4 linked regions of the Pelodiscus sinensis genome follow. The protein of the gene in region 1 binds, or shares a complex with, the protein of each later gene. Links are inferred from orthologs where the notes say so. Each region holds a gene or a part of one and is shown on either strand. Other genes may lie near its edges.

Region 1 (7,656 bases):
GCCGGACCGGGGGGGGGGGGGCCGTGGCCGGAGCCCTGCGCCAGCCGGACCGGGGGGGGGGCCGCGTCCGGAGCCCTGCGCCAGCCGGACCGGGGGGGGGGGGGGGCCGTGTCCGGAGCCCTGCGCCAGCCGGACCGGGGGGGGGGGGGCCGTGTCCGGAGCCCTGCGCCAGCCGGACCGGGGGGGGGGGCCGTGTCCGGAGCCCTGCGCCAGCCGGACCGGGGGGGGGGGGCCGCGTCCGGAGCCCTGCGCCAGCCGGACCGGGGGGGAGGGGAGAGGGGAGGCTCTGCCTGGGTTTCAGCGTCCGTCGTGGCCGCCAGTCCCGGTCCTGTCCCGGAAGCCCGGTCCAGCAGCCGCCTCTCGCCCTCCTGCCATGCCGGGGCAGCGTCTGGTACCTGAGCCTCCTGCCGCCGCTCATCGGTCCTTTCTCCTCACCTGTCGCCTAGCAACCCAGCATCCCTGCCACGGGCTGCGGCCGGAGCATCCTTCTGTGCCCGGCCCGGCCTCGCGCCCCCTCTCTGGACCCCCGCAAAGCCCTGGCGCTGCGGGAGGGGAGAATCGGGGAGCCCCGCGGGACAAGCCAGCAGCGGCGGGCGGGAGAGGCACGAAGGAGGCAGGTGCGGCGCCAGCGTTTGCAGGCTGCTCACGGCGCGGGGGGGCGGGGATCAGGGAACAAGAGCGGGCGCCTCCGTTTCCAACTCCCCCCTCCGCCCCCCTCCGCCTCCCCCGCCCGTGCCCGGCGGGCGCCAGGCGCAGTAGAGGGACGAAGCGGCAGCCGAGCTACCGAGAGGGCCCCTGCTGGGAGGGAAGGGGGCCGAGTCCTCTGCGCTGGGGGGCAGTGAATAGCAGCAGGCTCCAGCAGGGGTGAGAGCCGGGCTCTGGTGGCACCAGTGTGCTTGGCTGGTGCTGGCTGAGATTTCACAAGGGTCTACTGACAAACCCAACTTCTCCTGGCTCCCTTGCAGCCGGGCCTTATGCCAGCCCGGCCCGGCCCAGCCCAGCCCAGCCCAGCCCGGCACAGCTCAGCACAGCCCTGCCGGGCCCAGCCCAGCCCAGCCCAGCCCGGCACAGCTCAGCACAGCCCAGCCCGGCACAGCTCAGCACAGCCCTGCCGGGCCCAGCCCAGCACAGCACAGCCCAGCCCGGCACAGCTCAGCACAGCCCTGCCGGGCCCAGCCCAGCACAGCTCAGCCCAGCCCAGCCCAGCCCAGCCCAGCACAGCACAGCACAAGCACAAGCACAAGCACAAGCACAAGCACGGCACGGCCCGGCACGGCCCGGCCCAGCACAGCACAGCACAGCACAGCACAGCACAAGCACGGCCCGGCACAGCACAGCACAGCACAGCACAGCACAAGCACGGCCCGGCCCGGCCCGGCCCGGCCCGGCCCAGCACAGCACAGCACAGCACAAGCACAAGCACAAGCCCGGCCCGGCCCGGCCCGGCCCGGCCCAGCACAGCACAGCACAGCACAGCACAAGCACAAGCACAAGCACGGCACGGCCCGGCACGGCCCGGCCCAGCCCAGCACAGCACAGCACAGCACAGCTCAGCCCGGCCCAGCCTCTTGCTAGTCAGGGCAAGTGCAGCCCCAGACTGGCCCAGCTGGCGGGGCAGCAGAGTGTGGTACTGCTGGTCACCATGCTCTCCTGTCCCATCCCCCCAGGCAGGGCGGGGGGAGGGGGGATCCTGAAGCAGCTCTGGACACTTCCTCTCGGAAGGTCCCGCAAGGTCGCCCTGCCCCAAAGCCCTGAGTGCAGAGGCCTCCTGGCAGCTCACCCCCTCCCCCTCCCTGGTATTTAATAGGGGATAAGAACCCATCAGGAGAGCTGGTGAGACCACCCAGGTGCATGGCAGCTGCTCAGGGGCACCCAGCTCTGTGTCCTGCCCAGGCAGTGGCCGGGTGAGCAGCAGCTGGCTAGAGCCCAGAGCAGGGCCAAGGGAAAAGCACTGGAAGCCCAGGGCCGAGCGGCCGGCCAGCAGCAGGGCGACTGGGGCGTGTTCTGTAACTAGCTTGCACCAAGCAATGTGACCTCCCGCCACAGCGCAGGGGCCTTACCACGAAGCCCCAGCCCGTCCCCTAGACGCAAGCGGGACTGTGTGACAAAGATTCTACACATGCAGGTTCAGTTCAGTCCCCAGTCAGTCCCCTGGCTCAGTCTGTAGCCTCGCTCTCCCAGCAAAGCCGTGCTGGTCCAGAGCGGCTTTCTGAAGGGTGACTCGCTGGGAGTTACTGAGAGGTGAGAGCCGGTGAAATACCTGTGCAAGTGAGTCTCAGTCTCCCATTCTCAAGTGGTAGCAGAGACATAGCGATCTGCCAGTTCCTTTGCATCGTTGCAATGAACAAGACTTATGCCCTTTGTGGTTAAAGTTCTTCATTTGCATTACCCAGGGCTTCTTTCTCCCTGGCTGGGGATTTAGTGGCAGGGCTGCATGCAGGGTCCGTGTTTGCTCTTGCACCGTAATGGGAGACGGATACGTGACAGCAAAGCAGGCAGCATCCATGCCGTTCCAGGAGGGTTAAATGCCCCAGACCTTCTCCCATACGAACAAGCACTTTGAGCTGCGTTGGCCTTGTGTCCAGCCAGGCATTTGTAAGCGTCCAGTGAGGCCTGGGACTTGGGCATGAGCTGCCACCTGGTCTGCCAGTGCCACCCCAGCCTCCTTTCCAATGCTTCGTGCTGCCAGAGGCATCAGTGCCATTTGGCCCCTTTAACGCTGTTAATACCCCAACACCACAAAGGCAAAAGTGCCGACTCCCATATGCAACGGAGCGGCCAATTGCCCCCATCCGAGCAGGCACAGACCTGGCTGTCAGCCCAGGAATTCAGGACCTCTGGGCTTGGGGACTGTGGCTCATTTGACTGAGGAATGAAACCTCTCACCCTGAAATGTTCCAGCTAGTCTAGTCCACAGCGGCGCAGCCTGCCAGGGTATATCTGCCCAGCACTCCACTCCGCACTGGCTGCCTAGGGACACTGAGGGCAGCGTTGGATTTCTGCTGCCATGGTCAAAGCCCTCCATGCCCTGGCTGCCTGAGAACCTCTGCCTCACAGCTGAGACCTCCCTCAACAGCTGCATTCTAGCCAAGCAGGGCTGTGAGTCAGGGGTGCCTCAGAGGGATGGGGCCTTCACAGGCGCTGGGCCTCTGGCTTATTGCCCAAAGTGACGAAAATGACCAGAGGCTGCGCTGCACTTTGCTTCTCACGCAGTCACTGGTCACACGCGGCAAACACCCTGCCCAGCCCACAGCAGTGCGAACGCCCTGACTGACACCCTTCCTGCCCCAGCCACACCCAGGCAGGAACTCGGCTGGGGAAGATGCCTGCCAGTGCCAGGGACTGACAGGGATGTGCAGGCCGAGGGCTGGGGGACAGCCAGGCTCTGGGGTCATCAGCAATAAGGCCTGGATGTGTGGGAGCAACAGAGCTTGTCTGGCCGTGTTCAAATGTGCAGTTGTAGCTGTGTCAGTCTCAGGGATTGGAGACACTGTACTGGATCATCTTCTATTGGCGAGAGAGGCACGCTTCCAAGCCACGCGCAACTAGGCCGCTGACGGGGCAAAGGGGCAGCTGCCCCAGGGCCAGGCCATTCAAAGGGGCCTGGAGCCCCTGCCCATGGCCACTGCTGAACTGGAACGATGTGGGCTGGGAGATGGGCCATGGGGCAGAGTGGAGCAGGTTGCTCTGACTCTTGCTGCTGCGAGTGCGGGGTTGGGACGGGGACCACTGCTGGGGTGTTGTGCCCTGCCCCCCCCAGGTAATCCCAACAGCTGCCCTAGGCCTTGCAGGTCCCATTCATAGGATGGTTCAGGTGGCTGCCACTGGGGCCCCCAACGCACAGGGTCTGGGGGCAGCCGCCCCATACCATCCTATGGATAAGATGAGTCTGCCTAGAACAGTTCCCGTTCCCTTCAGACCCACATAAGAAGAAAAGATTGTGGTGGGGAGATTTTGTCAGCAAATTGCTACATTTTGGCTAGCTCCTCTCCAGAAAGGCACGTTCCTGAAACTGACTCTTAATTCATAAGACAGCAGCTGCCTCAGTAGTCTGTCGTAGGGCTGTCCGATAGCTTTTTTGGGACAATCCTTTCTATTGCGATGAGAATTCCGTTAAAAGCATTTGCGGAAAATCATGCCAGTCTAGCTGTAGCCATCACGTCTAGGCTGGGCTGTGCCCTGGAGAAGCAATAAACCCTCTGTTCTTGCTGCTGCGGGGCTGCAGGGCCGGGAACCTCAGCTCCCCCTCACAGCACTATTAAAGACTGGCCCACTTATTTCTGTGGCTGTGCCTTGGGGAGGGCTCAGCTTCCTGCCCCCAGGCCCCTGAGCTGCCAACTTCCCACGTGCTCTGAGCCCTGCCCCCTGCCCCTCCCCTGGCCGGTCAATACAGGGCGTGCAGGGGCAGCGCCTCGCCCCTCCAGCTCCCACGAGGAGGCGGCTCGGCGCTGCCTCTGGCCAATGGGCACTGCGGGGCGGTGCTGGGGGCGGAGCCTGGCACGGACAGCCCCGCCCACTTCCTCCTTCCCCTGTTCAGTGGCGTTCAGCGGAGAGCAGGGCGCCAGGCCGGGAGCTCGCGCGAGCTGCGCGCGCAGCGACTCCCCCTGCAGCGGGCGGGGCCGGGCGCAGCCGCGCGCCAGGAGCCTGCCGGACCCCGCCCCCGGCCAACCCGCGCAGCCGCAGCGCCGGGCGAGCGAGCTCGTGCGAGCGCCGGGGGCGGGGCGGGGCGGCGCGGTGACGTGCCCGGTTGTGGGCGGGGCGCGGAGCGGGGCGGCGGGTGCTGGCGGCGCCGCGCCATGGCTAAGACCGTGGCCTACTTCTACGACCCGGACGTGGGCAACTTCCACTACGGTGCGGGGGCGGGGCCTGTGTGGGGGGCGGGGCCTGCAGGGGGCGCTGGGCCTGTGGGGGGGTCGGGGGGGCGGGGCCTGTGGGGGGGTCGGGGGGGCTGGGCCTGCGGGGGGCGCTGGGCCTGTGGGGGGGTCGGGGGGGCGGGGCCTGTTGGGGGGGTCGGGGGGGGGCGGGGCCTGCGGGGGGCGCTGGGCCTGTTGGGGGGTCGGGGGGGGCTGGGCCTGCAGGGGGCGCTGGGCCTGTGGGGGGGTCGGGGGGGCTGGGCCTGTTGGGGGGGTCGGGGGGGGGCGGGGCCTGTGGGGGGGTCGGGGGGGCTGGGCCTGCGGGGGGCGCTGGGCCTGTTGGGGGGGTCGGGGGGGGCTGGGCCTGCAGGGGGCGCTGGGCCTGTGGGGGGGTCGGGGGGGCTGGGCCTGCGGGGGGCGCTGGGCCTGTGGGGGGGTCGGGGGGGGCTGGGCCTGGTGGGGGGGTCGGGGGGGCTGGGCCTGCAGGGGGCGCTGGGCCTGTGGGGGGGTCGGGGGGCGCTGGGCCTGTTGGGGGGGTCGGGGGGGCTGGGCCTGCAAGGGGGGCTGGGCCTGTGGGGGAGTCGGGGGGTCTGGGCCTGTTGGGGGGGTCGGGGGGGCTGGGCCTGCAGGGGGCACTGGGCCTGTTGGGGGGGTCGGGGGGGCTGGGCCTGCAGGGGGCACTGGGCCTGTGGGGGGGTCGGGGGGGCTGGGCCTGCAAGGGGGGCTGGGCCTGTGGGGGAGTCGGGAGGTCTGGGCCTATTGGGGGTGTCGGGGGGGCTGGGCCTGCAAGGGGGGCTGGGCCTGTGGGGGAGTCGGGGGCTGGGCCTGTGGGCAGGGGAGTGGGGTGTCTGGCTGCAATCCAGTGTATGATCTGTGGGTGCTGATCGCCTCTATTGTTTCCAGGCGCAGGGCACCCCATGAAGCCTCATCGCCTGGCACTGACCCACAGTCTGGTGCTTCACTATGGGCTCTACAAGAAGATGATTGTAAGCATTGCTTGTCAGGTATTGGGGTTGGTGTCCTGGAAAGCCCTCCACATGGTTCAAATGTAACTATGTTAAAACGCGGCTATGAAATATGCTCGTCCCCATTTTATAATATGTCTTATTCTTGCTGACGAAAGTCATTTCGCCATATTAGGCTAGAACAGTGGTCCCCAACCTTTTGGGGCTGCCAGGTGCCCGGGGGCAGGGCTACTCAGGCGCTGGGCACCTGGCAGCAGGGTCACACACGCACCCAGGGGCGGAGCTGTGCACGTGCCTGGTGCTGGTGCCACCCATGCGCTGCACTCCCGGGGCCGGCGCCGCTCCCGTGCTGCACGCCCAGAGGCCGGCACCGCCCTTGTGCCATGCACCTGGGGGCAGGGCTGCCCAAACTCTCCGCACCTGGGGCCGGCGCTGCTCATGTGCCGCATGCCCACGCATGGGGCCGCCCAAACACCGTGTGCCCGGGGCCGGCACAGCCCTTGCACCGCACACCCGGGGGCAGGGCCACCCAAACACTGTGCACCTGGGGACGGGGTCGCTCATGTGCTGCGCGCCCGGGGCCGACGCTGCCCATACGCCGTGTGCCCAGGGGGCTGGCACCGCCCATGCACCCGGGGGTGGGGGCGGGGCTGGTCCCATTCACTCGGCGGCTGCACAGAAATTGCCCGGCAAGCGCCATGGCGCCCGTGGGCACCGCGCTGGGGACCACTGGCATGACTCTCTATTTGCTGGGGATGCTTTAAGTCAGTGGTTCTCAACTTTTCCAGAATTCTGTGTTCTTTTTAGGAGTTTGGTTTCTTGTCTGTATTTCAAGTTTCACTTCACTTAAAAATACATGCTTATAAAACGAGGTATAAAAATGCAAAAGTGTCACAGTGCACTATTACTGCAACATTTCTGACTTTCTCATTTTTGCCAAATAATTGCAAAATATATTGATTGAAATGTTTCTGCGATATTCCAGTGTGGTAGTTGAGCCTCTTTTTCACTTGTGAGCCTTATTCTTTTGGTTGACAGTGAAGTGACAGCAAGTTAGAGGTTTTTCTCCACATTGTGTCTCGGTGGCAGTCATAGCAGAAAATGAGACTGTTCAAAGATATGCCGACCTGAAAGATAACAGACCTCCCAAAGCATGATTCCCACAGTTAATGTACTCTTTTTCTGCATTGAACACCAGAACTAGGTTAGTGTAGAATCATTATATTTGCAGACTATGGCCTGAGGGAAAACTGAAGAATATAATCTTGCTGTCCAGCAGAGAGGTTACTGCTGCTAACATTTGGCAAGATGAACAAGGTTTCTTACCCAGTTGCGTTGAGCTGAGTTGTGCTGAATGTTGGAGAAATCATTTTGCTCAGCTCAGTTTCCCCTATTTAGGCCTCCGTGATATATTAATAAAACACTGAAAAACAGGTAAAGTCTTTGACTTGACATTTGGACTTCCAGAATTTAGTTTTCTTGATAAAAGCATTCACTTTATCGTAAAGATTCAGATTGTTGGTGTCATGGCCTTTCATGGACAAATTGTAATCATTCAGCTTGCTAGATATGTCTGCAAGGTAGGCAAGTTGTACTAACCACAGGATGTTGTCAAACACAGAAACAAACAGGGATGAATGATCAGAGAAAAACTTATTAAATGGGTATAATTCAAAGCATCCATCAAGTACTTTGCCTTTTGAAAGCCAGTGAACCTCAGTGTGAAGCAACAATTCCTTATGATCTGACCCCTTCTCTTGACAAAGAATGCAAAACAGCTGAGCATGGAATGGCATGGATTTGATAAAATTGACAGTTCTGACATACTCGTTTAAAAC
Region 2 (7,770 bases), on another chromosome or scaffold:
GCCTCAGGCTTTCTTTAGACTCATGCAGCATTGCTGCCTCAGTTAAATTCCTCCCCCCATGCCTGACTCCCATCCCCTTCTTTCCCAGATGACTACTTCGCAGAAGATCCCAAATTCAGCCTCTGCTACTGTGAGTCGTGCCACAAGCTGCGGGGCGATGAGGCCTATTATAAACGGGGGGAGCCCCCCCGGGACTATGCCCTGCCTTTTGGTTGGTGTCGCTTCAACCTCAGGTATCAGCCTGGAGAGAGGGGGATCTGGTTCACTATTGTTGGGAGGGGGAGGCTGGGAAGAGGGGCTCTTGCTGGGATTGGACTGGAATGGGGAGGGGGGGACACTGGCTCTGACACCCTCCCACCTCGGCAGGGTAAACCCCCAGCTGGAGGTCGCCAGCACCTGTAAGAAGTGGCACATGGCTTATCACGGCACAAGTGTCGGTGCTGTCCGGAGGATGCTGGACCAAGGGGAACTGGGGGCAGGTAGGAGGGACCCAGCACAGAGCACATTATGCCCTGCCCAGACCAGGGGATGGAACTTATGCATCCTAGCTCCCAGCCCATGCCCCCCCCCACCTCCCGCCCACTCTGACCCACCAACTACCACTCCCTTCCCAGAGCAGGGGAGAGAACCCAAGAGTCCTGGTTCCCAGCTGCACCCTACTCCTCTTCCAGAGGGTCACATGCATGAAGCATGACCAGTCCCATTATGGGGTTCCAGGACCCAAACTCCTACTGGGGAGGGAGCAGTGCTTAAAGATGGGGCCTGCGCTTAGGGATGGGGCCTGGCTCACGGCTGTCCCCTGTCCCAGGCAGTGCGTCCATCCTGAGCTGCCGGCCTGCCAAGGTGGACCCCCAGGGTGGAGGATACCATGAGGCAGAGAACAGTTCCCCAGGCCATGGGGCTGAGCCCCAGTGCATCCTGCTTTCGCCCACCCTGCGCTACGCTGGCCTGGAGGCCTTCGCCACCAAAGTGCAGTGAGTGCCACCAGCCATCAGGGAGCAGCGGGGCTAGGGAGGAGGAAAGCAGTGAGTCCAGCCTGCCACTCTAGTGGGGTTGGCAGGGGTGGGGGGGGAATGACAGTGAGTCTTGCCAGCCACTGGGGAGCATTTGGGCTAGGGGAGAGGAAAGCAATGAGTCTCATCTGCCACTCAGGACTAGTGGGGCTAAGGGGGACAGTGAGTCCTGCCTGCCACTGGGGAGCAGTGGGCCTCGGGTGGAGCAGTGAGTCTCAGTTGCTGCAGGAGGGAGCAAGACACTTGAGAGCAGTGAGTCTTGGCCCCGGTTAAGGGAAGCTAGCAGGGGTGAGGGAGGGAGATCAGAGTCCCACCTCTAGAGGCCAGTGGGTGTAAGGGAGGAGCAGAGAGTCCCAGTTGCCACTGGCGGGGGATAGTGGGACTAGAAATAGTCTGTGAATCTTTGACCCACTGTGTCTCCTCTTCTCCCTGCAGATTCCGGGACCCCAAGTCACAGCGGCAACATGGGGCACAGGTGGCCTTCCAAGTGTGTGTGCGCCCTGGCTCCTACAAGCCAGGCCCCCCATCAGCTGGTGCCCCTGAGCCCCCGGACCCTCGTTTCAGCATGGCTGAGATAGAGTGGGTCACCAAGGAGAAAGGCGCCACCGTGCTCTATGGCCTGCTTGTGCGTGTGGAGTGACCCTCCCCACAGCCAGCCAGGGGGAAATCTACCACCACCCTCCAATGGACCGTAACCCCCCCCAGTGGCTGGAGGCATGGGGAGCAGCAGATCTGCAGCGCACATCTTTCTCCCACCCTGGACCAGCAGGGGGCACTGGATGCTGGGAGGGGCTTTCAGCAGTATGACCCCCTCCATCCCGATTCCAGAAGGAAGATTGGTTTTTTGGGGGGTTGTCTCTCTGCAGCATGCTCTCCCTGTGCTCAGCTGGGGATAATCACCAGAGGAACTTGCCTTTCTTGGGTAGGGGGGGTTATCTTCAGTGTGTATCACCCCCACACACACGTCTGCACTCTTCCACCCCCCCTATGGCCTAGCCTAAGGGGGGAGAATTTGGACAAGATACAGAGTCTGACACTGTTTTAAATCTGGGGGGAAGCCCCTCCCCCCATACACACAGCTCCCTCTGGTGCCCAGAGCTGTATTTTGCACATAGAAAAAGCTAAGAGGGGGCAGACTTGGGGGGGACTTACAGCATGGTGGGAGATTTTGGGGGGGGGAATATATTGCACCACAAAAGACTTAATTTCTTAGGGAGGACCTACCTCTGTGGGGGAGATCTCTACCCTTCCACACTTAAATAGCTTAGGGAGAGTAAGTACCCCTGGCACAGATTGCTATGATGGGGAGTCACCTTCCATGGCTGGGGGGCCCTGATCTTGCCTCCCAAGGGGGGGACTCTCATTCGGAGGGAAAGTTTCCCAATGAATATTTCAAGGAAGTGCTAGATTCAGTTATTGGGGTGTGGGAGAGTTGGAGTAGCCGGGGGGAGTTGGGGGAATTTGTTCTTTTAACTCCCTCTTTGTTCCCCCGTTTGGCAAGCCCCCTGCTTTGAGGAGGAGGGATGTTGAATTGTAGCACTTAGTGGTGGTTCTAGCCTGCCCCCTCTCTGGCTTGGGGGAGGGAGGCAGGGGACTCCCTGTTTTTTCCACACCATAGTGGAGGGGAAAGGTTGGCCAGGTTACCTTGCCTCCATCCCCCTCCCACCTTCTGCAACCACTGTCCTACACCCCTTTCCTGTGCAGTAAGCACTGCTCCTGTGGTGCCAGTAGCCCCCAAAATCAGCCCTACTGTCCCCTCACCCAACCATCCCTCCTTATTTATTACCTATTGGTGTTGTTGAAATGTGAATTTCCTCGTGGGGGAACCTTGGGGGGGCAGGTTTAGCACTCCTTCCCCACCTGTTACTTTTTTAAAAGTTTTATTTAAGCTGCTTTTCCATTGTAAGGTTGGGGGGAGGTGAAGTTGCATTATGGGGTGGAATGGAGGGTTCTTAGAGCCCCCTAATTGATAAACCACCATTCAGCCACCTCAGCTGTGTCTGTGTTTGTGTCACCAGAAAGGGGGGAGACTGTTAAACTAGGCTGGTTACACATATCTGGTACCATGACTTAAAATTGCCTTTTTCTGGTGCAGACCAGGGTTAAGTGACTATACAGATTTGTTTTGCACAAAAAAGCCCCGATTGTGAAAATGGCGATCGGGGCTTTTTTGCACAAAAGTGCGCCTAGATTGGCACGGACGCTTTTCTGCAAAAAGTGCTTTTGCAGAAAAGCATCTGTGCCAATCTAGATGCTCTTTTCCGCAAATGCTTCTAACGGAAAACTTTTCCGTTAAAAGCATTTGCGGAAAATCATTCCAGTCTAGACATAGCCCACATGTTCGAGGAAGAGTCACATTCTCTAATAACCATGGGATGAGTACTGCTCCCTCCTACAACTTCCCCCTAGATTGCTCATGATTTGGAAGGGAGCAGATCAGTGGCCGGTGTATGGGGCCTGTGCTGTGCCACACAGCTCACTGTGCCAGGTATACCCCTAACCTCCCCAACAACTTTGCTAACACAAATGTAAAGGGCTATAATTCCAGCACTCTTTCCTACAGCCCCACCACAGCTGCCCAGCACCCCACCCAGGACTTACCTCACTCTCTGATTTCCCAGTACAGGTTCTCCTCGCTACCTGATGCCTTTCCCCATAGTCCTGCCACCACACTGTCCTGTACTGCGTTCTCCCCTCCCCCCCCCATCATCACACCACCTGGACACTCCCATCCTGTCCTCTCACCAGCCCTGCTGGGTGATCTCTGAATCCTATGGTCAGAGTGGGGGGCAGGTGCTGTCTCCCAATGCTGCACCAGCCACACTGGTGAACTCAGCAGTTCCCGTACGCTAGGCACACTGCCAATGGGAGCTGCAGGGAAAGGGCTTGCAGGCACAAACAGAGCCCCCTGACCTTGATGGACCAGATAGGAGTTGGGGGTGAAGCCACTTCCAGGAAGTGGCCAGCAGGTTGCTCTGGCTCTCTGCCTGCAGACCCCATCCCCACAGTTTCCATGGGCTGTGGCAGAGCAAAGGTGTAGATATCGGGTGCCTAGGGGCTGCAGGCTGCTCCTCCAAGCAGAGCCCCATAGGCACAAGACTCAGTTTCTAGACTAGGGGTCACCAACCAGTCAATCAGGATCTATCAGAAGATCTTGGAGCCTCTGACAGGTGATCCTGACTGGTTTGGCTGGAAGGTTCTCAAGTGCCTGCATGTCAGTTGCCCTTCCCCCACTGCTCCTGCCTAAAGCCTCAGAGCTGTCCCCTGGGAGCCTTCTGCATGTAGTGTGGGGTGGGGAAGACAAGAAGCAGGGAGGTGCTGATGTTGCTCTGTCCCCTTCCCTTGTATCCCAACTTCACAGAGGAGGGTGGGGCCTCATCAAAGGGGCGGGCTGGGGGTATTTGTGTTAGAGGCAGATCCTAGACTGACAAATTCAAAAAGTGATCTGCTTAAAAAGGTTGGAGACCACTGTTCTAGATCAATAACAAAACAGCAGGGTGCTGGTCACCCGAGCACACACCCCCAGCACCCAGTTGGAGTGGGAGGCCCCCCGCTGTCCCTTTCTCCTCCCGGGCGGGGGCCAGCTATGCTGCCTCTGCCCACACAGGCGCATGCCCTGGGCTCGGCCGAAATCCCACTCCTGCCACCAGCGGGCGGGGCCAGCCTCATTCTGATGCACGGCCAAGCGGCAGAGCCTGGTCTCGCTGGGAAATGAGAGAGGGCGGGGCCATCTGACGTAAGGGCAAGGGCGAGGCCGGATCCCGTTCTCACGCGCGCACAGAGGGCGGGATAAGCTGACACGAGAGGAGCGGCCGGGTCGCCGCAGGCGCGCGCCCCGGAAGCGGAAGTGTACGGCTGGGGCCGGTGCCCGAGCGCGGAGCGAAGATGCCGGCGCTGCTGGAGCGGCCTAAGCTTTCCTCGGCCATGGCGCGCGCCCTCCACCGCCACGTCATGGTGGAGCGCGAGCGCAAGCGGCAGGGTGAGCCTCGTTCGCGTGCTCCGCGTCACGCGCCCCTGCCCTCCTCGTGTCTCACGTCACCTGTCCAATGACCCCTCTCCGTCTGGCCACACCCCTCAGCGGCTCTAGCCCCGCCTCCACCTGTTGTCCCCACCTCACCGTGGCCCTTCCCCCTGGAAACCCCCCACCCCCTGGAACACTCCACGTCCCCCCTCCCGCCGCATCCCTCCACCACACCACCCTGGGGTTCCCCCACCGACCCCAGGCCTCCCCATATTCTCCTCCCCCACTGCACCCCCTGGGTCCCTCCATATCCCCCTCCCTCCACCCCATCACACACACACTCCCTGGCTCCCCCATATTCCCCTCCCTCCACTGCACTGTCCCTTGGTCCCCCTGCCCGCACTGCTCCTTCCATCACACTGCCTCTTGGGAACCTCCCCAAGCCTCTGTCCTACTGCTCCTCAAGGACACCCCCTCGCACTCTCCTGTGCTGGAGGAGGGCACAGTGCCTTATAGGGTGTGGCCAAGAACCTCTCCTGGCTTCCTGAGTCCCCAGTGCTAGCCCCATCTCTCCGGAGGCGGATTTCAAGGGGCCCAATACCAGGGGTGGAGGGTGACCCTCAGACACCCCCTCCTTTTGTTCCCTGTTTCTTAGACATCCCCTGAAAAACAGGCCTGAGCCCCCTCTCCCCTGCTCTTCCTTTCTCCCTCCGTCCTCACATCAGGGGCACCTCACAGATCAGAGCCCTAGAGGTCAGGGTCACCAGCCACTTCCTGCTGCTCTGCTCTAGCCTCCCCTATAGCTGGGCCCCAGTCTCCCCAACAGCTAGGGTGACACCTCCACACTGCAGCCCTTGGCAGAGGAAAGGGGGGACTAAGGATGAGAGCGTGGGAGAGGGTGGCACTGCGGGACCAACCCAGCAGCACCCCAGCTGCTCTGCCCCCGGCTTCCCCAAGTCAGCCGCTGCTGAAACTGACCAGCGGCTGACTTGGGGAGGCCACGGGCAGAGCAGCTCCAATTGTCCGGCTGGCCAGAGCACTTCCAGGTTCCGGTTGGTGCCAGACTATCAGGAGTGCCGGACCACTGGATGCCGGACAATTGGAGTTTTACTGTACATTGTTAAAGGTGTGGATGAGCTTGTCATTAGTGTTCCCTGTAAGCTGGGTGCTTGGGCAGCCACTCAGGAAAGATTTGAATGCCACCCAGTTTTAGAAGAGTGCTCATAGCCTTAAGCTGATTCTGCTGAATCGGGCCCTGCACCCGAGAGGGCTCTACACCCGGAAGTCGGCTGCTCCCCCTTGCCTGCGCACGCTGCCAGCTGCTGCTGCCATGCGCGTGTGTTTGCACGTGGACGGAGTGACACCCGGGCGTGATGTGACGTCGTCACGGCCCGGGATTTTTAAAACTGAAAAGTGCAGGTGGCTCGGACTCGGAGTCTGGCCCCGCATTGTAGAAGGCAGAAGGTAAGGTGGGGGAGGGGGGAGAGGCGCAGTCAGCTCTCAGCCACCTGCAGCCCGGGGAGCGGTGACTCACCCTGAGCACATGGAGCCGGGGTGCAAAGCAGCGTTGTGGGGCGCAGTCAAAGCAGGTGGGGTCGCGCTTCCCCCACGGGGCCCCAAGCAGCTTGCAGAGGCAGGCCTGGCCCAGCCCGGCCCCTGGCTGCCGTCTCTTACCTGAGGGGCTCCAGCACCAGGCTCTGCAGGCTGAGGCCACGTGCGGAACCGGCCGCTAGCACGGCCACCACCTGTGGCAGCTTGAGCAGTGGCAGCATGCTCCAGCGTCCGGTTGGCCAGGCCAGCGCCAGCTGCGCCTCCTTCGCGCGTGCTGCCCGATCCGGCGCAGCCCATCTCTTCCGCTGGCAGCCGCGGGGCCAGCCCTAGCTTGGTTGGGTGGGGAGGTGGATTGTGCAAAAACGGGAGCGCTGAGGGGTGGGGGACACTGGCGGTGGGGAGCCTTGGTTCCCAGCCTGACGGATGTGATGGGGGGGGCAGAGGCATAGCGAAGGGGGTGCAGGGAGGGGCAGTTGCCCCAGGGCGCCACGCTAGGGGGGCGCCGGGCTGGGGTGAGAGCAAGCGCACGCTGTGCAGGCTCACCTGCCATGGGCGGCAAGTTATATGGCCGTCCCCCCAGCCCCGAGCCATCCCTGCTGTGCGCAGCATTCAGTCGGCTTCGCCTTGCCTGCGCACACTATGCAGCATTTCCAGGTGACCGGGGAGACGCCTGGGCGTGACGTGATGTCACGTCATGGCCCAGGACTTTAAAAGTGTTTGGTGCTGCGTGGTGCTGGCCTACCTTCCAGTTCGGAGTCCGGGGACTTTTGGGGTCTGAGCACAGACTCCGGCCCCCAAGTGGAAGGCAGAAGGTACGGCAGGGCAGGGGGAGAGGAAGACGTCTTGTGCGGAGGTGGAGGGGAGAGGGAAGATACAAATTCCAGGGGGCCAAGTGCAGACAATGAGGAAAAGGGCAGGAGGGGAGGTGTCAGTGTGAGGAGGGACAGGGTGATGCTGGGAGAGGAGAGGAGAGGGGAGGGGAAGGGCATTAGGGTCTGGAGGGGGGGAGGGGGAGGTGCTGGGAGAAGGCTTGAAAGGAGGGGTGGCCATGAGAAAGGTGGGGATGGAGCAAGCCATGTGTGAGGGCACAGGGGCATGAGGGGAATGGGGCAGAGAGTGGTGAGGGGGCGGGCATCAGGAAAAAAGGGGGCAGGGGCAGTGAGGGAAGAGGATTCCTGCTGATCTTATCCTAAGGCTTTCAGTTATCCAAGGGATTGTAGGTTGCAGGCATCCACTGCTGTCTCC
Region 3 (7,742 bases), on another chromosome or scaffold:
TCCTGTGTTATGGTAAACTCCATAACCATTCAATATACTTTACATGCACTTGGATCTATTCTTCCTCACTAAAAAAATTAACTAAAAACAAAGCAAATAGATACACATACAATATATTCACATTTTGACCATTTCAATGTACTTCATCCATCTCCTCATGTTTGTAGGATTTAACAACATTCATTACACTCATTATCTGAGTGATAATAATTACAAAGTCACAGTAAAGTTTTACAATGCTTAATATTTATATAATGCTTTGCAACTTCAAAGCCATGTACGAAACATCACTTATTGGAAGAAAAACTAAAACTGGCATTTGTAAAAATTTTCATTCATATTGTTTTGTGGGGGGGAATGCTGAGTAGCAATTATGTCTAATAATTTTGATCAACATTTATTATTCTCATTGAAGCAAGAAAACATTTAAATGAACAATATCAACTGTATACCCTTGTGTATAGGCTGAAATTAACAACTCAAGTCCCAACTACTCTTGCATGTTTAAATTTCCTTCTCCTCTTTCCCATATGGAGTGAATGATAAATATTTTCTAGGTGTTCAGAATACTATTTTGGGAGACTTGCCACAAAGTTCCCAAGACACATTCCAACATGAACCATGTGTTCACGGAGACAAGCCTGCGCTTCACTCTCAGGATCTTGAATTTTATTAGGAGAGAGTCTCAGGTAATATGTAATTAATAATAAAATAAATCACTTTGGGAAGCTACAGAATGTTTATTATTATTTACATAACATGAACAGCTATACTAAGCAGATTTACCTTAACAATGAAGTTTTTTTTAATTCTCAGGCTCTATCAAAATCTAAGCACATATTTAATTTTAAGTTCATAAATAGTCTCATTAAAACCAATGGAACTACTCACGTGGTTAAAGTTACACACCTGCATAAGTGTTTCTAGGATTTGAGCCTTAAATTTTAACTTTAAGCTGAAAAGATTAATATTAAGATGTCCATGCCAAGGCCAGACATCTGAGCTTTGGCAAAGTTCAGTGCACAATCAAGACCCAAAATTTGGCCCTAAAACTTAAGGCATTATTCAAAACTTAAACCTGAACTCTGCCAACAGCACTTCTGTCTACACTGTGTCCTACCTAAAGCCAACATTCAATATCCAGAGAGCATAGGCCATATATAATAAAGACCCTTCCCTTGTCAATATGTTTTGTGAGGCCCTCAAATATCTATTCAATATACCAGATCACCAAAGCAACAGCAATCAGGCTCAGATGTTTTATGGGACAACACAGTTTTCCAGATCATGACTCTCCATATCCTATGCTTTAACAACAAAGAATAAGCATATTTTGCGATCTCTTCCATAAATCAGTAAAGTTTTGATTTATACAGACAGGAAAATGAGGTTGTTGGGTACATCTGACAGCAAAGACCATGAGCAAACTTTACTCTGCAACCCTGAACAGCAACTACAGATGAAACTTTATCCTGAAAACTAAACATGCATTCTCAAGCAACAAGACTCTGCCATTAAGCACAACTTAAGGAGATTTTTATTATACATTTTCCAGAAAAGGGAATTTGGTGATGAAAGATTGAACTCACTAGGAACAATCTTAACATACATGTTTACCCCATTAAATAATATAGTGAAGTATGCATTTTGCCCATACAATGGGTAAATATAGTCAGCTAGCAGCACAATAAAACACGTAACTTAGGTGTAAAGCTCTTTTTTAAAATATATAATGCACAAAAAAAGATTGACTGGCTCATTTTGAATTTCTGATTAAGTTTTAAAAAATAGCCCATTAACAGGTATAAAGGCTTATTTGCAAAACTAGGGCCCATGAGTTGTCTTTTACACGTGGCCCTTATCCTGTCAGAGAAAATGTGACCCAGAAATCCACCCAGAATTAAACAGGAAACTGATCAACAATAACTTTAGCACTTTACAAGGGGGGAGGGGGAATTAATTACATATACAGATATTTTCTTCCCTTAAATCCAGGGCTGTATCTCAAATGTAGTTAAACAAAAAGGAAACACACCCCTCTAAGTTACAAATGAAAGACAATATACACCGTTGAGAATAAATAACCCCCCCCAAAAAATCACACAGAGGAAAGTGTGGACACAGATTCCCCTCCCCCACTCAAGCATGAGTTCAGACACAAGCACATTTCTCCCCAGCTTTTCTTAAAAATATACATTGCAGACACAACCCATAAGCCGACTGCAAAATAAATACAGACCTAAGGTCACACTTTGGGGTGGTCTCGCCCCCGCCCTCTATTTTAGAAATAGTAAATATGACGGGGGGGGGGAGGATTCTTCTTCTTTACACAAATCAGGCTAAAAATAGGCTATAAACCAGCCTGCCTCATGATGGCTCCTTGATTCAATTTGCTGCAAATCCCCCCCCCCCCTTAAAGCCTTTAAAATAAAATCCAAAGGAGAGGAGGAAGGGGGGAGGGGAGAAATAAGAAAGGGGGAAGAAAGGCAAAAAAACCCTCCAAAAAAACAAGCTTTACAGAGGTGCAATTTACAATAGAAACCACCAGCTCCCCCTCCCCCAAAAAAATACATTTTTAAAAAGGGGGACCCAAGTTGGGGGGGGGAAAAAAATGCATGTTACACTGGTGCCCATCCCCCACCCCCAACTATCACAGACACAAACACAGCTCCCTTCCCCCCACCCTGGATCACTTCCCCCACAGCCTCTCCCCACCCCCGCACCCCGAAAGAGGCTCCATCACCCCCCCCCCCCCGATGCACTTGATCCAGCCCAGGAGAGTAAAAAAAAAAAAGCCCCAGAACACCCCCAAGTCCTTACCTTGCCGTTGATGGCTGAGTGGCTGCTTTTGCCCTCCCCCCTCTCCTTTGCAATGGAGGCAAAAGAAATGCACCCTGGGTTTCCTCCTCTGTCTACAGCTTGAGACACAGACACACACACACTCTCCCTCTCAGCCGAGGTGCCCACTCCAAGCAACCATCCAAAAAAAAAAAAAAGGGAGGGGGGGGCAAAAAATAGCAAAAGGGGGGGGGGGAGAGAAAAATAATAGCCACCCCGCAGGGCTGTGAGAGTCAATGGTATCCCAAGGCAGAGTGGGGGGGGAGGGGTGGGGGAAGGGCTGGGCGATGAAGTCCCACGGAGGGGGAGGACCCTGTGTGTGTGATTTCGATTGAAGAGGAATCGAGGCAGAATGTAAAAAGCTGTTACTAAGGGAAGGAGCCAAACGGTTCGGAGCAGCCAACGGCTCAGACACTCCGCGCTGGGGAGAGCGCGCGCGCGGTGGCCAGCCGCACAGAAATGAGAGAGAAAGAGACGGGCGAGGAGCAGAGCAGCAGGCCCGGGCGGCTGGTTGCAAAAGCAACCACCAGCCTCCAGCCCAGCCATGGGGGAGGGGAGGGGAGACCCTCCTCTTCTCACACGCCCCCCCCCCCCCCTTTCCCAGGCAATATGGCCAAGGCAGGGCTGCTTTTCAGGATTCCGCAGGGGCCAGCCACATGCTGCCTGGGAGCAGGGTGGGTGGGATCCTGGGGTGCCAAGGGAGATACCCGCCTCTCCCCGCCGCCACCTTCCCTGTCACATGCCTTCCCAGCCAGCTGCACAGGGCCCTCTGGCCAGGCTCCTTTATGATTAGGCACACCACCCACCAGAGGGGTGAGGGGCACCCAGGGCGAGCCCTGCTCCTTCCTGCCCCAGCTTGTTGCGTAAGAGGTGGGCAACAGTGCAAGGCGGGCACTGGTTGATTATTAAGAATATATCGTAGCAGCAGCCTGCAAAGCAGCAGCAGGGTGAAAGCGGGAAGGACACGGGGGTCCAGTACAGTGAAGGGAGACCCTCGCACTTCACACACACACCGCTTGCAGCAAGCTGTATCAAGCGATATTGCCCAGGATTATTACCAAGACCATGTAAAGCAAAGCAAGCAGTGTGCACAGAGGGGAAGCATTCGGCAGAGACCCTCCTCTGCTTCCAGGAACACGCATACAGTATACTCCCCAAGGCCTGGCAGCACTTTACACTCAGCCTTATTGCCAGGTGTTGCCTTGTTATGAATGATGTACAAACCAGCAGCAGCCAGAAAAACAAGCAAGGAGTGGGGGTGGATGCTGGGATTCCAGTATTGCATGAGACACCTTCCCTTAAGACCATGCATGTGTACACACACACACACACGCACATGCACCCAGACACCCATGCAACAGCCTGCATCGTAGGGCAGTAATGCTGGGTAGTGTGGTTTTATTGTCAATCATCTTTTACACGCCTCCAGAACATGTTTCATGTCCAATGCATTTCCATAATATTGGCATTTAGCATGTATATAATGCTTTATTTTAAATTTTTTTCTTTTTTTTTTAACAATGGTAGGCCTCCATCCTACAATTGGTTCTGAGAGGGTTAACTCCAGAGCTCCACCCATGCTCAAGGGAACACCTACCTAGACCAATTGCATTCAGGGACTGCTTTCTTTTTCAGAATATAAAATGTCTTATTGATAATAATGCCATGCTGTTTGTTTTAGGACACTTTAATACTATTTAGCCTTTATGTCACAGGGTTTTAAAGCAAGCTTCATTAGTGTGAATCATATTTGTTAGTACACAATGCTTTGCATTTTAAAGTGCTTTGTGGATCACACTTACAGGCTCTGATTCAGCAGTCAAATTTGCACGTGCAGACGCTTGAGCCTGCACAAAGCCCTACTCCCTATAATCCTCGTGTGGATCTGACTGCAGGATCTGGTGCCAGGGTGAAATTCACACTGCTGGGGAGAGTCTGCTCCACCTGGACAGGATGGCCCTGAACTGTTCAACTGTGGAGGCTGAGGGCCCTGGTGCTTGTCTTTGTTAATTTTTTGTTATTATTAATATGTATTTAGCCCTTTATGGAGTATAGCACTTTCTCTTTTCAAATTCTTTAATTACGAAGCCAAAATAACTCAAGTCTATCAGCCGTTAAAACAGGGGTCAGCAACGTACGGCACACGTGCTATAAGTAGCACACAAAATGTTTTTGAGTGGCACGCTGGGAGTCCGCACTGCCGCTGGAGCCTCACAGCCGGTGCACAGCTGCAAGGCTGCAACCCCAGCTCCAGGGGACAGGGCAGGGAGGTGAAGAAAGCAAACTCAGCCCCCACCTCCATGGGCAGACCACAGAGCTACACATGGAGGAGTTCTGCCCAGCCTCCCCACAACGAAAAAGTCCTGCCCACCGCTGGGCATCCACCTCTGTTGTTCCTGCGGGGCAGGCTGCAGATTGGGCTGCACAGCTCTCATGGAGCATGAGCCACTAGCGCCCTCCTCCTTCCCTGGCACCAGGTTAGGCTGCGCTCCATCCAGTTTCAGTGGGAGGCGGCAGCACTGGGGCAGAGGACCCTGTACACACAGGAAGCTAGTGGGGGCTTGGGTGCCTTCAGGGCTCTGCACCCATGGGGATTCGGTCTGGGGGAACACAGATCTGTAAATAGAAAGTGAATGCCACTTCTGAAAGGTTACCAAACCCTGCTTTAAGACATGCTAGAGTCTAGTAGGACTTTGAAGCCAGCTGGATCACATGCAGGGTTTGAGGACCGCAGAAAGTCAGTTATATATTCTTATGTAGAAGCCACTTGGTTTGGGGGGTTCAGATTGTTACTGGATGGATATATTTTTAAAAAAATGATTTTTAATTTTGAAAATTGTGAAGGGGCCTAGAACAAGTAAGTATATTTGTGCATGTGTCGATAAATACAACAATTAATAGACCTTGTGGAGTGCTTTTTGGTACATAATGCTTTAATAATGTTAGCACTTACACAATCTTAAAATAAAAAAAATATAAAATGAGGCCCCACTCATACCAACACCAACATTTGTTTCACTACAAGCATGGGAGTAGACAAGATGGAATCAACAGGGCCACACACTTGTGTTTGCAGGACAGGAGTAGGTTTTGATTTACAAAGCCTTCAATAATTTGGGACCTTGCTTCTTGAAAGATTAATTCTTTCCTTCTTTGATTCCATGGCAGCATTGTTTAGGATGTGAAACTCTAGTTTCTATTATACGCCCTTGACCTTGGAACTCTTGTCCCTGCATAAATCTGAGCTCAGTCTGCTGGGTTGAGATATATGGGGTAATTGGACAAGGAAGATTATTTAGGGTGCTTGTTAAATGAGTAATCTATGTTTAGGATTTACAGAGTTGGGTTATGTGTAGAACCTAGGGAGTCATGTTTAAATAAATAATAATCTTTAGCACTGTTATTTTTTCCAAGCCCTCTCATACTAAAGGAGATGGAACTTTTGTGGTTTGGTCCTATCAGAAGTTCAGAGATGTGGTTAAACTCTGGATCCAAACTTTGAGAGACTTTGGATCTGGTGGGTTCCTGAGCACATTAGCATTGTGCGGCACATCACTTTCAGTCTCCCTCCAACTACAGCAGAACCTCAATTTTACAAACACCAATCTTATGAATGACCAGTTATACAAGCTATTTTTCCTGACAGAAAACAAACAAATCACATAATGAAAGTGATGTTGATGAAGAACAAGTCAACATTCCCTTCACATTCCACTGTGTTCAACATATTAGAAATTGCTTTACGGGGGTTTGAAAGACAAGAAAATTCTGCAGTACACTGTACTGCAATACAGTGTTACAGGCACTCGGGAACGGCTGTTGTCCATAACGCTGAAGTAGTAAAAACTTTAAAAACAACAAATAGTTCTACAGCATCTGAAGTAGTAGTTATGGACTTCAGTCATGTGTGGGGTTGGAGGCTGCCATCGCAGGCTCAGAGGAGGATCAGGGCTGGGGAAGGGGAAGTTGAGGTTTCTGACCCTTTGGAGCTCCAGGTCTCCAGCCGGGGGAGGAAGGGAGGAGAGCTAAGCACTTGTGCCTAGCAGAAGCATCAGGACCCAGCACTTTAGACCTGTGGAGATTGATGGGACTTATAGGGCTTCAGTCATGCAGCTCCCAGCTCCCCACAGCTCTATTTCTGCCCCTCAAATGCCCCAATCGGGAAGGTCTCTAGCTTCGGGGGAGTGCTAGGGATGAAATTGGTGCTTCCCTCAGAGCTTAAGCCCTGAGCCACCGAGCTCCACCTCAATCTAAATCCTCAGAGCTCCTGAGGATCAGAAGCCCCAACCTCCACCCCACCCAGAGCCTCGACCCTGTGGCTAATGTTCCAAACTTCCTCTTCCATGACTGAAGCCCTGAACCTCAGGGGTAAAGCCCCCCGCCCCAAGCCCTACAAGATTTGCATTTCCTCCCTTTGTATCTGTGCTGCTGCATGATTGAGGCGTTCCAGTGCCACAGGATGTCCAGTTGACTGATAAGTAAATAACACTGGTGTTTGTATCTTTTGACATTCTACTGCATGTGTCTTGTACTTATTGTAATTCTGAGATTTTATTGATGAATTCCTTAATCCATGTTCCCTCTAAGCTTTTCCATCCATGTGCAGAATAATTTTTTCACATGCACCAAGGCATGAGCAAATGTGCAGCGCCAAAAGAAACACAAAACTTTGCTGTGGGTTCTCTGCTAATTAGGCAGGTGGCATTTGACTCTCTCAAGCAACTGCACAAGCACACACTTTTTACAGGAAACTCCGTCCTTAATCCCCAAATAAGCATTCTATTGTACAGAAAATGTTCTTCTTCCAGTGTTTGTTTGAAGTCTCATTGCGGTTGCTGGAACTATGGCTAGTGGGGAATACGCTGTACTGTAGTAAATGTTAGCAGTATCAAGCACTGTATTTG
Region 4 (7,718 bases), on another chromosome or scaffold:
AAATTATGAAACATCATTTGAAGTGGGGATTGTTTGTCCAAAAATCAAATACATGTATAGAGCTCTGCAAATGCAGATATCCACTTTATATCTGTGGGTATGCGCATCTGTGGATGTTGATATCCACAGCTCATTTTTTAAGATATGGATGCAGGTGAGGATATAATTTTTGTATATAGAACCCTGAATATTTGCAGATATCTACTTTATATCCAGGGGTATCCACATCCATGGATGTCAATGCAGATATTCTCAGCTCATTTTTGCAGATACAAAGGTGGATACAAATTTTGTATCCACACAGGGATCTACACATGTACAATTTTTGCAAATTCAGAGCCTGTGTTAGTAATCAAGGAAACGATTAAATAGCTAATATCTGAATCACTCTTCAAACCACAATACTAAGACAACATCATTTGATCTACAACATGCTGAAACCTTATGTAATTGATTTGTTGGCATTATACAAAATATGGTATCCAGATATGGCTGTTTAGTGATTTAACTTTGGAGACATGTAATATGAATTACAAAGAATAACAACAAGACATTTCTGTAAATATTAGTGTTGATATTAATTAAATGTTATCTTATATAAGCCTCCAAATTAGAGTGCCAGAAGGCAAAAAAATCCCATGAAAAATTGCTTACTCTGGGTCAGGAACCTTTGGTGACAGTCCCCAGACTTCAGGTGCTCCCAGTTCTCCAATCCTCTCTCTTTCATTCAGTCTCCTATAAAGATACATACCTGCATTAAAACCGAATGTGCTACCATCAAACAGGTATTCAAAACCTGAATAGTTTGTTTTTATCAGCATTTCTCGTCTCCATAATTAAATTTGCTGAAAGGATATTTTCTTCATGTTAGTATCTAAAATTTGCTTATTCTCTCCAAAAACAAGACACTTCAACACTAATTTTTCAGTTACTGGGGGGCCAGTATGTTTGAGACATTTTTAAGAAACACCTCTGCATGCTTCAGTTAACCCTCAGACTTTGTAGTCTGGTAAAACAGGATTTTTGGCCACATATGTAATGTTCCTGATAGTTTTTTCCATTACAAATTATGTATCTAAATATTTACCATGATGATTACATCCACTTCCTAAAACAAACAGGCAAAGGTACCTAGTCTGTGGCAGATAACTGCACAAAACATCTCTCCATGTGCCCTCGTCTAAAAAAATGGAAGACCTAATTTGTAGAGACAACACATTCTAATATGTGATGCTTTGCTTCTGATCGGAACAATCAGACTTGTCATCACTGTTGACTGTAATCAGGGATACTGGCAGTTTTTATATTGGGGGTGCTGAAAATCATCAAACCAAACTGTAAATCCTGTTATAACTGAAACCACTTCAAGCCAGAAGGAGCAATAGCACCCTCTGCACCCCTAATTTCAGCACCTAAAGCTGTACTATATGTAGGGCCCTATCAAATTCATAGACATGCAAAATGCATCGTCGACTGTGAAATCTGGAGTCCTCCCAATGAAATGTGGACTTGTGTGTGATTTTAGCCTATACTATACATGGGGAAACCAGTGTTTCTCACATTGGGTGTCCTGACCCAAAAGGGAGTTGCAGGGGGATCACAAGGTTATTTTAGGAGGGCCACGGTACTGCCATCCTTAGTTCTGTGCTGCCTTCAGCACTGGGCAACTATACAGCAGTAATTGTAATTTGAAAGGCAGCATCTTGCCAGCAGCAGTTCAGTGGCAATACAGTACTGCTGCTTTCAGCGATGGGCACCTGGAGAACGGCAGCTGCTAACTAAGGTCCCAGCTCTGCAGGCAGAAGTGCAGAAAGAAGGATAGCAGTACCATAACATACCATCCTTATTTCTGTGCTGCTGCTGGCAGTAGCAATGTCTTCCACGCTGGACTCCCAGCCACCACTTTCCAGATCCCCAGTTCTGAAGGCAGCACCACCACCATCTGCAGCACAAAAGTGCAGTAGTGCCACCCCCCGCCACTCAAACCTTGCAAACCCCATACAACTCCTTTGTAGATCAGGACCCCTGCAATTGCAACAGCATGAAGCTCCAGCTTTTAATATCCAAAATCATTATATTTACCATTTAAAAAATCCTATAATCATGACATTGACCCAAATGGACTATGAATTTGGTTGGGCCCTAACTATCTGGAAGATTGTCACTTTTGCAAGCTACCCATGATAACTTAACAAGTTGGGCCCTATCATACCTGTGGGGCTGCATCATTGCATTAACACAGATGTCTCCACACTATTTCATTTCATGTCCCTTTGAGGCTCTAATTTACATCCCTGCATAATTTCTTTAATAGACAAAGTTAGGGAAAACGGACCTAATTTTCCAAAAAAAATAAGGTAGAGCAAGGACTACTATGAGAAGGAGAATCTGGTAGCTAAGTGGTAAGGGGCATTTAAAAGAAGATTGGACAAGGCACGGAAAGGTACGTAACAGGGAACACGCCTGCACTGGGAAAAGGGGCGGGGCACACGCTGCAGCTCGGGTAGCCGGGGCGGGCGAAGGCAGCTCGGTTGGGGGGGGGGGAGACTCGCCTCTGCCGCAGGATCTCTTCCTTCTCCTTCTCATAGTAGTCCGGCCACTGCTTGCCGCCGCCGTGGTGATGGTGCCCGTGGTGAGCGGAGGAGGAGCGCGGCCCGCCCGGCGTGCGCTCCCGGGAGCGGGACCAGCTGCGGCTCCGCCGATGCTTCGAGCCGTTGCGCTCCCGGGACCGCGACCTCCTGCCCCGCTTCTCGGGGGACGCAGGCCGGTGGGGCCGGAGTGTTCTCGGGGGCGAGGGACTCGCCGAGGAGCTGCTGCCGCCCTTCCGCCGGGGGCCTGGAGATCCTGGAGGGCTTCGAGACCGGGACACAGGCGCCATCTCGGCCTCCCGGGCCGGGGGCAGGAGAGGTCTCCCGGGTTGCTACCGTAGCGCCAGCAGCGACCGCGGGGACTTCCGGGTGGCGCACTTCTGAACTATCCCGTGCAACACCACTTCCGGTTTCTGCGCCCTTTCCCCCCATATTAAGAAAGTGCTTCCGGGTACAACCACCCACATCCGTCCCCCGGGAAACAATTTCCGAGTGTTGCTACCAACCCCTTCCGGTACTCGTGCACAGAGCAATTGAACAACCGAGTGCAACAGGCTGAGTCGCCGCCCGGAAACGAGGCGGTGTCGCTTGGTTCCTACGGCAGGGTTCGTTGCGGGCGACCCCGTGCGAGCGGCCAGACGGCTTCGGGTTGTCGGAGTCCGGCGGGATGCAGGAGAACGGGGTCGAAGCGCCAGGTAAGGAGGGACCAAGAGGCGGGCGGGCACCCCGCCCCCATCTGACAGCGGGGCGGCCTGACCCTCACGCATGGTGCTGCCCCCCATGTGGGTGCAGGGGACGCAGCCTGCCCTGTGGCCGGGGGAGCCCAGCGCCCATGGCTCTGCTGGAGATGGGCTCCCCCCAAAGGTCCCGCGGGGCAGGCCTCAGCCTCCTGGAGTCGCCAGGCTGAGAAGAGAGAACAGGTGGCCCCACCCGGCGCAGTGGGGAGGGTGAAACTCGGCCCCCGGGAGCGGCCTGAGACCAGCATCTCCCCGACATAGGTCCCAGACCAGCCATCAGATGGAAGCAGCGTTTAGTCAATACTTAAGGCAGTCAAGCAACAGCAGCAGCGAGAGGCGCTGGATATCCCATCCCATCCCCAGCCCCTTCCATTGCTGTAGTGAGGTATCACTGAATAATTTAATCCGTGGCTCTACAAAGGTGCCATTAAACAAGAAGGACTCAGAATCCTGTGGGAGATGGAAGTGCCCAAGGAGAACAGGAGTAAACGACAGTCAAAATTTCTGTCCTCCTACTGTTTTGGCATTGTCATCAGCATCCTGTTCTGTGCAATCTGTGAGATGCAACCTAGTTGGTCACTGTGCTAACAGGGCAAGCTGCATACAATGCTTCAGTCAAAGTAAAAGTCAGTAGAAAAGACTTTCCCTCACTGACTCCATATTACACTTGATAACTACGGTGACCTGTACATGGGGATGAATATGCAAGTTCTGGAAAAGCCTCATGATGCAGCAGCCCATCTTACTGACCAGCATCAAAAGGCAAGAGTGCATTTTAATCTAGTGCCTTCAGGAACTACACAGACTAAGCTTTGAATGTCCGATAGACAGTTCAAAGTCACAGTGCTATTCTCCAAAGTTTCTCTTCAAATGGGATGTGTCCCAGCTGCCTGAATTAACATCTATGACTTTTTTCTGGAATGATGGAGCTGTCCACAACAGGAACAATGTTTAAAATAAGTGGAAACAGCACTTTTCCAGTGGACAGCTCATGGTTATGGAACTTCCTTCCCCCCAAAATTAGAATGACTGAATCTTCCTGCTTTCGTATTTCAATGCAAAATCCAACCTTTTGCCCTTAGTTTTTCCACAGCAGTTGACCCTTTGCCCCCACCAAACAACCATCAGCAATGAAGGAATAAACAAACATGCAAAACATACAAAAAGCCACTACGTTTTCATTAGTCCTTAGATTTTTTTATTTTAAAAGGTCACCTTAGAATCAAAATAAACAACACAGCAATAATCCAGAGAGTTATAAAAGTTACATAATAAAAGCAAACAGCCTTTTTTTTTTTTAAATGGGTGTCAATGGAGGAAATCTTTATCAAGGATGTTGTTTGTTTTTTTAAAAGCCCTCTTGTAGGTAACAGTCTTTCTTTTGCTTGGGGAAGTAATGTATAATATTGTCCTGACATCAAGTAAGCCTGCCATAAATATCCAAAGAATTATTTTATAATATTATCTCATACTGTCATGTCATCTTATGTAAGCCAAAATCAAATCGAATAGAAGGATATGTCTCAACGTTGTTTATAGTTGGACAGCTGTTTCAGTTACCAGATCTATAAGGTGTGGCATAAGCAGCAAAAAACCTGTTCAAATTATATATGGAAATTAGTAAATGTATAGCACTATGCATTTGGTAAATTGGTAAATGTATAGCACCAAAGAACTGCACTATGCATGGTATTCTTACATTATGTTTCTATCTATGCAGTGAGGCTGTGTCTAGACTACATGCCTCTGTCGTCAGAGGCATGTAGATTAGACACATAGGCAAAGGCAAATGAAGCCGTGATTTAAATGATCGCGGCTTCATTTACATTTACATGGCTGCCGCGCTGAGCCGACAAACAGCTGATCAGCTGTTTGTCCACTCAGCGCGCTAGTCTGGACGCTCCCCTGCCGACATCAAAGCCCTTTGTCGGCAGCCCCATTATTCCTCGTGGGATGAGGTTTACCGGGGCTGCCGACAAAGGGCTTTGATGTCGGCAGGGGAGCGTCCAGACTAGCGCGCTGAGCGGACAAACAGCTGATCAGCTGTTTGTCGGCTCAGCGCGGCAGCCATGTAAATGTAAATGAAGCTGCGATCATTTAAATCGCGGCTTCATTTGCCTTTGCCAAAACAACAAATCTACATGGCTCTGTCGATGGAGCCATGTAGTTTAGACGTACCCTTAGGTTGGGATATCTCTTCCATTGCCAGAAGTGCTGTGGGGATAATGACAATGAATATCAGGAGACTTCCCTTGTTTAATGCTTCTGAGTGATCTCTTTAAAGTGCTAGTAGACTATTGGTTGTTTTTTAAGTTTTTCATGTTACAGACTAACATGGCTACCCCTCTGAAGCCTATGTTCTAATAGAGTAGGAGGAGAGTAGTGAATTGAGTACAAGTCAGTGAGCCTGAGTTCTAATCCCAGCTCTGACACAATCTGTGGAACTAGACTAAATTGTGGCCAGAATTTTAACTGAGCTGAGCACCTTCAGCCTCCAGTGAAGTCAGACACTCAGGCTGTGTCTACATTGGCATGATCTTGCGCCAGAGCGGCCGCTTTTGCACACAAACATGCTGCCTGTCTACACTGGCGGGGAGTTCTTGCGCAAGAACACCGACATTCTAATGTGTGAAATCAGTGCTTCTTGCGCAAGAACTATGATGCTCCCACTCAGGAATAAGCCCTCTTGCGCAACTGTTCTTGCGCAAGAGGCCAGTGTAGACAGGCAACATTAATTTCTTGTGCAAGAAAGCCCGATGACTAAAATGGCCATCGGAGCTTTCTTGCGCAAGAGAGCATCTACACTGGCATGGATGCTTTTGCGCAAAAGCACATCTCTTGCGCAACAGCACATGCTAGTGTAGATGCTCTCTTGCGCAAATACTTTAACACAAAAACTCTTGTGTTAAAAGTATTTGCACAAAATCTTGCCAATGTAGACGTAGCCTTAGCTTTTAGTTGCACTGAAGACAGCTACTCATTACCTTGAAAACTAAGACCATGAATCTCTCCTTTAGTTTTTCTGTTGGTAAAATGGTGATTAACATATTCAACTATCCCTCAGTAGTCTTCTGTGGGTTAATTAGTAATTGTAAAGCTCTTTGAAGTATTTTATACATAGGTTACGTCTACACTGGCACCCTTTTCCGGAAATGCTTAAAACGGAACAGTTTTCCGTTATAAGTATTTCTGGAAAAACCGCATCTACATTGGCAGGATGCTTTTCCGGAAAAGCACTTTTTCCGGAAAAGCGTCCGTGGCCAATGCAGACGCGCTTTTCCGGAAAAAAGCCCCGATCGTCATTTTCGCGATAGGGGCTTTTTTGCGGAAAAGATTACTGTGCTGTTTACACTGGCCCTTTTCCGGAACAATTTTTCCAGAAAAGGACTTTTGCCCAAATGGGAGCAGCATAGTTTTTCCGGAAAAACACTGACAATTTTACAGTAGATTGTCATTGCTTTTCCGGAAAAGCAAGCGGCCAGTGTAGACAGCTGGCAAGTTATTCCGGAAAAGCAGTTGCTTTTCCGGAATAAGTGGCCCATTGATAGTGTTTATATAATTATTGCATTCTACATATAACAGCATGCTGCTACATGTGGCATATGATCCAACTCCAAGTAATGTTAAAAGAAAGTCTTCCACAGACTTTAGTGGGAGTTGAACTAGGTTTTATTACAATATTAAAAGCCAACCAATGCATAAAATACAAAACAAAGCAAAAAATAGAAATCAGATGGGAATTAGTGTTCTACTGTCCTTCTGGCATTAGTAGTGTTCCCAGCATCACAATATTGCTCTTTGTATAGATTATTTCTGTCCCTAGAGATAATCCAGTTAAAATGACTGTCAAATTTTCATTGGTACTGAAAATTGAACCTAGGTATTCAGTGAAGATATTTCTGTCTCATGACATGTTCATGAAAGCTTGGTTCTGTTATTTAGTCTCTAGCAAATTTTATTTATTCTTTTAAAATAAATTAAGTATAACTCTGTCATGACTGAAGACTTTTCCCTGTCTCACAGAAGTAAGTCTTTAAAAATGCTCTCTGTCCCTAAGTATTTCTACCATGAACATTTCCTTTTTCAAAAAAGAAAACTACTCTTAAGATGGTTTAAGTCAAAACTTCACATCTATTGCTCTTAGGGATGTTAAAATGGTTAAGTGGTTTAACTCAGAGTGGTTTAACTCAGAGCCTGGTCCCACTGCATCCTGCAGCATCCATTTAGTCACTTTTTAATTCCAACATCCATTTGTCACACCAAACTGAGAAAGCAAATTTCTGAATTGAACGCCCTCCACACAAAATGCTATAATCAAGCAGTGCCCAACCACCAGGCTGCAGCTCACTGTCAGGCCACAGACCTTTGGCTGCTGGGCTGCGGTGGCTCTGGG

Evidence for each region.
Region 2: HDAC3 (region 1) and GPS2 share a complex: the UniProt entries of both Homo sapiens proteins name them as parts of the N-Cor repressor complex. The link is inferred for Pelodiscus sinensis from reciprocal best matches to the Homo sapiens genes HDAC3 and GPS2.
Region 3: HDAC3 (region 1) and TBL1XR1 share a complex: the UniProt entries of both Homo sapiens proteins name them as parts of the N-Cor repressor complex. The link is inferred for Pelodiscus sinensis from reciprocal best matches to the Homo sapiens genes HDAC3 and TBL1XR1.
Region 4: HDAC3 (region 1) and NKAP share a complex: the UniProt entries of both Homo sapiens proteins name them as parts of the notch corepressor complex. The link is inferred for Pelodiscus sinensis from reciprocal best matches to the Homo sapiens genes HDAC3 and NKAP.

The regions. Positions count from the first base shown.
Region 1 is NC_134727.1:1,035,544-1,043,199, forward strand, and holds the start of HDAC3 (histone deacetylase 3), read left to right. Parts: upstream 1-4,649; 5' UTR 4,650-4,796; coding exon 4,797-4,851; intron 4,852-5,756; coding exon 5,757-5,839; intron 5,840-7,656. UniProt on the Homo sapiens protein: Histone deacetylase that catalyzes the deacetylation of lysine residues on the N-terminal part of the core histones (H2A, H2B, H3 and H4), and some other non-histone substrates.
Region 2 is NC_134734.1:9,787,904-9,795,673, reverse strand, and holds the start of GPS2 (G protein pathway suppressor 2), read left to right. Parts: upstream 1-4,755; 5' UTR 4,756-4,898; coding exon 4,899-4,992; intron 4,993-7,770. Other genes in the region: NEURL4 (neuralized-like protein 4), read left to right, coding at 89-233, 367-479, 809-974, 1,449-1,653. UniProt on the Homo sapiens protein: Key regulator of inflammation, lipid metabolism and mitochondrion homeostasis that acts by inhibiting the activity of the ubiquitin-conjugating enzyme UBE2N/Ubc13, thereby inhibiting 'Lys-63'-linked ubiquitination.
Region 3 is NC_134720.1:43,459,845-43,467,586, forward strand, and holds the start of TBL1XR1 (F-box-like/WD repeat-containing protein TBL1XR1), read right to left. Parts: upstream 3,011-7,742; 5' UTR 2,821-3,010; intron 1-2,820. UniProt on the Homo sapiens protein: F-box-like protein involved in the recruitment of the ubiquitin/19S proteasome complex to nuclear receptor-regulated transcription units. Plays an essential role in transcription activation mediated by nuclear receptors.
Region 4 is NC_134723.1:33,983,041-33,990,758, reverse strand, and holds the start of NKAP (NF-kappa-B-activating protein), read right to left. Parts: upstream 3,007-7,718; 5' UTR 2,879-3,006; coding exon 2,553-2,878; intron 736-2,552; coding exon 655-735; intron 1-654. Other genes in the region: ZBTB33 (transcriptional regulator Kaiso), read left to right, coding at 3,256-3,283. UniProt on the Homo sapiens protein: Acts as a transcriptional repressor. Plays a role as a transcriptional corepressor of the Notch-mediated signaling required for T-cell development. Also involved in the TNF and IL-1 induced NF-kappa-B activation.